Linked DNA regions of Rattus norvegicus. The protein of the gene in region 2 purifies or fractionates together with the protein of the main gene of each other region. This does not show direct contact. Links are inferred from orthologs where the notes say so. Each region holds a gene or a part of one and is shown on either strand. Other genes may lie near its edges.

What was found.
Region 1: the proteins of Tacc3 (region 2) and Vasp purify together in Homo sapiens (co-immunoprecipitation; 3 studies listed by BioGRID and IntAct, with this or other methods). This does not show direct contact. The link is inferred for Rattus norvegicus from reciprocal best matches to the Homo sapiens genes TACC3 and VASP.

Annotation. Positions count from the first base shown.
Region 1 is NC_086019.1:88,040,045-88,043,071, forward strand, and holds part of Vasp (vasodilator-stimulated phosphoprotein), read right to left. Parts: intron 2,660-3,027; coding exon 2,622-2,659; intron 2,510-2,621; coding exon 2,268-2,509; intron 2,125-2,267; coding exon of another isoform or gene 2,122-2,124; coding exon 2,024-2,121; intron 757-2,023; coding exon 705-756; intron 547-704; coding exon 510-546; intron 285-509; coding exon 239-284; intron 139-238; coding exon 48-138; intron 1-47. UniProt on the Homo sapiens protein: Ena/VASP proteins are actin-associated proteins involved in a range of processes dependent on cytoskeleton remodeling and cell polarity such as axon guidance, lamellipodial and filopodial dynamics, platelet activation and cell migration.
Region 2 is NC_086032.1:81,279,549-81,283,363, reverse strand, and holds part of Tacc3 (transforming acidic coiled-coil-containing protein 3), read left to right. Parts: intron 1-160; coding exon 161-242; intron 243-601; coding exon 602-1,046; intron 1,047-2,206; exon of another isoform or gene 2,207-2,335; intron 2,336-2,526; coding exon 2,527-2,579; intron 2,580-2,889; coding exon 2,890-2,999; intron 3,000-3,790; coding exon of another isoform or gene 3,791-3,815. UniProt on the Homo sapiens protein: Plays a role in the microtubule-dependent coupling of the nucleus and the centrosome. Involved in the processes that regulate centrosome-mediated interkinetic nuclear migration (INM) of neural progenitors.

The DNA.
Region 1 (3,027 bases), on a different chromosome or scaffold from region 2:
CATTCTGGAGTCAGGGCTGTCTCTCCTGACATTTTTCCCCAAGCTACCTGCTTCACCCTCTCCAAGTCGGAGTCATCACTGGAGCTGGGCACAGAGGGGTGGGCCTCGGAGGTAGTCACAGAAGAGGATGACTTCATCCTGGAAGAGTCGGACAGGAGTGAGGTAGGGTGGTAGGTTGCCTCCCTCTTTTCCTATCCCGGGGCTATATTATGTTCCTCCCCAACAGCCATGACCCTACCTTGGCAAGGTTGTGCTGTTCTTCTCCCAGGGTCTTCGCACAGGTTCTGGGAGGGTGGTGGGGCAACAAATAAAGATCAGAGACAAGCATTGCCATCACAGTACCATACCACCACCACTTAGCACTCAACCCACTAGGTCAAAGAATTTTAGAAAACTATAAAACTGAGTACTGTTTTCACAGATTTCCCCCTGTAGTGCTTGCAAAGCCAAGAACAATGCATCATGGGATTTGTAGTTTCTATGTATAGACAGGGCTGTCTGTCACTCACCACTTTGGGCAGGGATTCGGGCCTCTGACTCCTCCTGCTGGCGGTAAATAGAAGTATCATAAACGGACCCTTTTATGCCCATGTTCCTCTTCCAGGTCCAAAGCCAGCTCAACCCTGCCACATCACACCTCCTCCCTGCCCTAGGGCACCAGCGTACATCATAAGGAATATAGAGCAGGAAGAACCCGTACTTACACTGGCTGACTCGTCTTTGGGGGGCTTCTCCCCAACCTGTGTGGCTTTCCTTCTGCAGAGGGGCAAGCAAGGGCAAGCTACAGTTCACGCCCCACACTCAATAGGACCCCTTCCCACTGCTAAATTCCAGGATTGTTTGAAAAGTTAAAGGGGCCTGCGAGATGGCTCAGCAGCTAGAAGTTCCCGCCGCCAAGCTGAATCCCCTGATCGAACCCCAAGGACCCATGTGAAGGTGAAGTAGAGAACTGAGTCTTGCAGATTATCCTCTAACCTCCACATGGACAAACGCAATGAATAAATAAACGTAATAATACTTTTAAAAATGAGATGCTGGCAGATCTCTGTGAGTTCAAAGCCCCCCTGGTCTACATAATGAGAGACTGTCTCAAAATCAAAACAAAACAAGACAAAACAAAAACCCTCTTGGGAAAGCATGGTCCAAGCCTGCAATCCCAGTATGGGATAGGCAGAGGCAGGAGAGTCATTCTAAGTTCCAGCCTAGCCAGGGCTGATGTTCAGCAGCACCACCCAGTTTAGGGCTGAGATGGTTCAGTAAGGAAGGGTGCTTGCTGTTTTTATTTTTATTTTTAAGATTTATTTATTTATTGTATATAAGTACACTGTCTGTCTTCAGACACACCAGAAGAGGGCATCAGATTCCATTACAGATGGCTGTGAGCCACCATGTGGTTGCTGGGAATTGAACTCAGGACCTCTGGAAGAGCAGTCAGTGCTCTTAACCGCTGAGCCATCTCTCCGGCCCCCAGGTGCTTGCTGTTAAACCTGACATCTTGACTCCAATTCCCAGAACCCACACAGTGGAAGGAGACAAACAACTCTTCCAGGGAGCCATGGGTACACTCGTATATACAACAACAACAACAACAAAAACCCTGAAAATTTAAGGAAAAATCCAGCCTAGAGATTGCGCCTCTAGGATCTGGAGGGGTCCCCCATAATTCCAAGACTGAAAATCACAAGAACTATAAGGGTGAGGAGGCTTCTAGGTCAGCAAGCTGAGAGTCTAAGAACCTAAGCTTCCAGGACGTTCAAGCGGAATCTCCCATGGCTCAAACAGGGAGTGTGAGAGCACTTTCCAGACTGTGAGCCACCTGGGGATGAGTCTCCAGCATGGTGTCCTGGGCATGGCTGTCATCAGACAGCACCGCCAAAGACACAGAGAAGCTGGGTGCAGGTGGAAGTTCAGCCTGGGCTAGACATGAAAAGACAGGAAGGGGAGGGGGCCAATCAGCACTCCAGCAGCCTAACCCTGAAACTGCAGCATGTGGGCGGATGACTTCTAAGGGACTCAGGCTCACCTCCGGGCCAGCATGGCGTTCATCTCTTCCATAAGCCCCCCACCAGTGCCTCGACTATTCTCAGCTTTGGGGGCCAGGGGCCCCCCAGAGGCCTCCTCCTGCTGAAGGAATGAAAAAGGGGGAGAAGGCTTCACAGGTAGGCCAGGTGACCTCCCAGCCCTCTTGTGACACCTATGGGGGACTCTGACCACCTCCCATTGTTCCCTCAGGGCTTCATCCCAGCCACTCCCATCCACTTTCCTACCTTGCTCACTTTCCTGAGTTTGGCTCCAGCAATGGCAGCGGCCAGGCCTGGGGCCCCGGAACCCCCACTACTGGGGCCCTGTGCTGTAGGGAGTGGGGGTGCAGGGGGTGGGGCTACACCTGTTCCATGACCTGCCCCAGATACCCCTGAGGGGGGCAGACCTGGGGGTGGGGGGGGACCCGGAGGAGGGGGAGGTCCTGGAGGTGGAGGTGGGCCCCCAGCTGGGGGAGCAGGTGGGCCTCCTACAGTAAACACAAAGAAGGGTATTGCTGAGAGAGAGGCAGGATATTGTGTCCTGCCTGCCCAACCCTCTCCTCCAGGGAGGTCCCCGTGACCCAGTCACTGAGCCATCACCTGCATTGGAGACCCGGCGCTCCAAATGTTCAGGCTGCCTGTACAGAGGAAAAGAAGCCGCTTCAGTCCCCAAACCAAGCAGAGGGGGAAGGGGGGCGGGGACCACGGGAGGGGACAACCACGACACCACAGGACCAGAAGCCTCTGGCTCCTCTCAGGGGCCTGGGCGCACTCTTTTCAACGATGCAAACGGATGATTCCAAAGTGGCCATGGGTTCAGAGAGCTGTGGAACCCTAGGGTGGAGTGAGGATGGGGCATGGGGGGGAGGGATTGTGCCAGAATGGTTCATTCCCTCATCAGATTCTTTGGGGTTAGATTTTCTTTTTCTTTTCTTCCCTATTTAGACAAGGTCTCACTGTGTAGCCTAGGGTAGCCTGGAACTTTGCAGACCAGGCTGGGTTCAAA
Region 2 (3,815 bases):
CAGATAAACTGTTACCTCCAGAGAAACCTCCTCATAATTTTCATGTACTTTTTAGCATGAGCAGTTTTCACGTGATCAGCGTAGGAGGGAGGTAAATAATAGTTCAGTGCAGGATCAGGAACATGGGGAAGGCCCAGCTCTGATGACCCTGTCTCTCCAGCCAGCTGCCGGTAGCCCCAGTGGACGATGTACCTGTGGTTCAGATGGCAGCCGAGATCCTGAAAGCAGAGGACGAGTTACAGGTATGTGTGCTGTCAACACTATTATACACTGCATAGCAGAGGAACAGCATTGAGGTACAGTGGTGCATACTTTTAATCCCAGCACATGGAGCCCAGAGGCAGGCAGATTCTGAGTTCTAGGCCAGCCCAGTCAACATAGTGAGTTCCAGGACAAGCAGGGCTTCAGAGTGAGACCTTGTCTCAGAAAAATAACATAGTAGAAGAGGCTACCAGCTCTCTTCTATGAACAGGGTGGGATACAACACTATCTCCCATCCCCTAAAGCTGCCTCCCTGTCTGGGTTTACTTTAAGGAAAGAGTGAGCGGGGCTCTCCCTCACCCAGAACCTCACTACAAGGTGATGCTGACTTTCTCTCCAGGAGGGAATTTTGAATTCCTTGAGCCCTTCAGCTTTCACAAGTTTTCCAGACGGTGAGCTGGTAACCCCTCCAATCGAGCCGATGCCGGAGCCTTCCCCTCAGGGGCCAGAGCCTCTCTTGGACAGCGAGCCAGTGACCCCTCCAGTCAAGCCAGTGCTGGAACCTACTCCTCAGGGGCCAGAGCCTCTCTTGGACAGTGAGCCGGTGACCCCTCCAGTCAAGCCAGTACTGGAACCTACCCCTCAGGGATCAGAGCCTCTCTTGGACAGTGAGCCAGTGACCCTTCCTGTTGAACCAGTGCCAGAGTCTTCCCATCAGGGACCAGAACCTCTCTTGGACAGTGAGCCAGTGACCCTTCCTGTTGAACCAGTGCCAGAGTCTTCCCATCAGGGACCAGAACCTCTCTTGGACCCAAAGGAAGAGAGCTTTAGAGACCCAGCAGAAGGTATGTGGCATAAATGCATTTTTAAAAGTGATAATCTTTTCTCTGTACTGGCTAGCTCTCAAATAAATGAAACAGACTATAAGATTTATAAGCTTTATAGTACAGTAGCTGAGCAGTTATTAATCTGTTTTATTACTCTAAACTAATCTGGCTACTTCCCAGCCAAAACACTTGCATTTTAGTATCAGTCTGGCCCCTTGGTGTCTCTTTTTCGCCTGTGGAATCTAGTCCCTCTTTCACTCCCTCCCCCAATCCTCGGTCTTGGAAGTTCAACCCTATTAGCCGATCAGCTTTTATTGACAAGTCTGAGAGTAAGTGGGGAGCAATATTTACACAAAATTCAGGCAGGAGATACTTAAAATGATCATTACAGTGTCTTGTCCAGATTGCAGCCAAATATGGGGGGGGGAGAGGGAGGTTCGTCAGCACTTGAATAAAGGATCAAGGATAATCTTTACAGATTACAATAGCATTATGCCTACACTGTGGCCCCAAGGTGTCACCATAGGTTTCTCTGAAAGTCCCTGTGGACACTTACGTACCTGCAGGTTCCAGGCAGTTATTCCACAGGCTTTTCCCTGACAAACTTTTGCTCCCAGCCAAGCATGGTGACACCTTTAATCCCAGCATTGGGTAGGCAGATGCAGAAGGATCTCTTGAGTTTGGGGCCAGCCTGGTCTACAAAGCCAATTCCAAGCCCCGGCTGTCACACAGAGAAACCCTGTCTCTAGAAGGGGAAGGTGGGAGAATCAGCTTTTGGTCCTTAAAAGATGGGGCAGTGTCTTAGGGTTGCTATTGCTGTGATGAAACACTATGGCCAGCCTGCTAGTGGTGACACAGGCTTTAATTCCAGCACAGGTAGGCAGATCTCTGTGAGTTCAAGGCCAGTCTGGTCTACACAGTGAGTTCCAGACAGCCAGGGTTTCACAAAGAAATTCTGTCTCAAAAAAACACAAAAAGAAATTCAGGGTCCTCTTGAGAGTTCAAGGCCAGCCAGACTAGAGAGCCAGTCAGTCCCCAGAATGAAAAAGTCGGGTCTTTATCCATGGATTTCACATCTTCTCATTCAGTCAACGTTGGGTAGAATTTTTAAGTGTCTTTATTGAATACGAAAAGGGAAAGAAAGTACTTTTTCTTCCTGTATAAAATTGGGGGCTCCTTTTGAGGTCTATCCCGATGGGGCTTCTCTGGTAGCCACACATCGTTGGAAACGCCTCGTATAGTAACTTGTGGTTTTACTTGACTCATGACTATTCGTTAGGTCTGTGGGAAGGAACTACAAGACAGCAAACAAAAAAACAATTGGGGGCTCACCTAGGGCTTTCTTCATAGAAGCAGAGAAGCTGCTAGTTTGGGTGCTGGAACCAATCTCGGAATTTATTTCAAAGAACAGTGATCCCACTCTGTTGAATACTTTGGGCATGTGGCCCTCAGAACCTGCGGTACTTGGGGGAATGGCTAATACCACTCATTGTTTCAGTTCTAGGTGCTGGTGCTGAAGTGGATTATCTGGAGCAATTTGGAACTTCCTCGGTAGGTACTTGCCCGTTATGACAGCCTCGACTGCAATGTGTAAATCAGTCAGCCTAGGCCACTTATCCTTGGCTCCTGGAGCATCCTTTAGTTCCTGTACTGTGTCTGGTCAAGGCTGCATGTAAGAGCCCTTGCCTTACAACAGTGTCCTGACCCAGGTGTCCCCTCACTCCCAGATAATCCTGGACCTATCGGGGTGTGTTGTGGTCTCCCCAGCCCACTTTGCTCAACAAGGTCATCCTGGCTTCTGGTATCTGTTAAATCAATGATGAATCCTGTTACTTTTCCTTGTCCCATCTCCAACTCTCAGTTCAAGGAGTCAGCCTGGAGGAAGCAGTCTTTGTACTTGAAATTTGACCCCCTTCTGAAAGAGAGCCCTTTGCGGTCAATGCCAGTGCCAGTGGCCCCAGTGACAAATAGGTATGTTCCTCCTTTGAAGCTGTTAGCATGAGCCAAGGAATCTAGTGGCTGTTACTAAATGTACTGATTGAAAACTTGTGGGAAAAGGCTAATCTCAGCTAAAATGAGTGATGGTAATAGACAAACAGGACTCTGAGCCTAGAGCCAGCCTCATCGATCAGGTAGTCCGTGTTTTAGTAAGGTACTCTGCCATGCTCTTCACACAGCCACACAAGCAATGATTGCACAGGAGGGCACGAGCCTGGGCCAGGCCAGACAGTCTGTTTGTATGAGTGGACTTCAAAGGCCTGTTCCTTCATGCATCGTCTATGACGACTTGTATTATAAAGGCAGATCCGGGGGTTGGGGATTTAGCTCAGTGGTAGAGCAGGTCCTGGGTTGGGTCCTCAGCTCTGGGGGGGGAAAAAAAAGGTAGATCCGAATTGTTGTGACAGAAACCATAGGGCCTTCAAATCTGACATCTGTGGAAAACCCAGGCTGATAACTAGTACTTTAGAAGAAAATATAATCAAATATTACTGAGAATTATGTGCTAAATCTAACACAAGACCCTTGAGCCCAGGGAAGGAAAGATTTGTCCCCTCTAACTAGGTATTAACCCTGTACATTCTGAGGACTCCGCAGTAGGGCATCTGCACTGTCTGCACAGCTTGCTATGAGCCAGGGAAGCACGGCATTGCCTCACAGGGACAGTGAGGGGCAGGTGGCAGAGGGGGCTGGAGGCAGCAACTGCCAGGCCTAGTTCTCCAGTCCCAACTCCTAGTCTCTGTCTTGTTTGTATTTGTTTTTAGACCAAGACCCAAACACAAAGCTTGT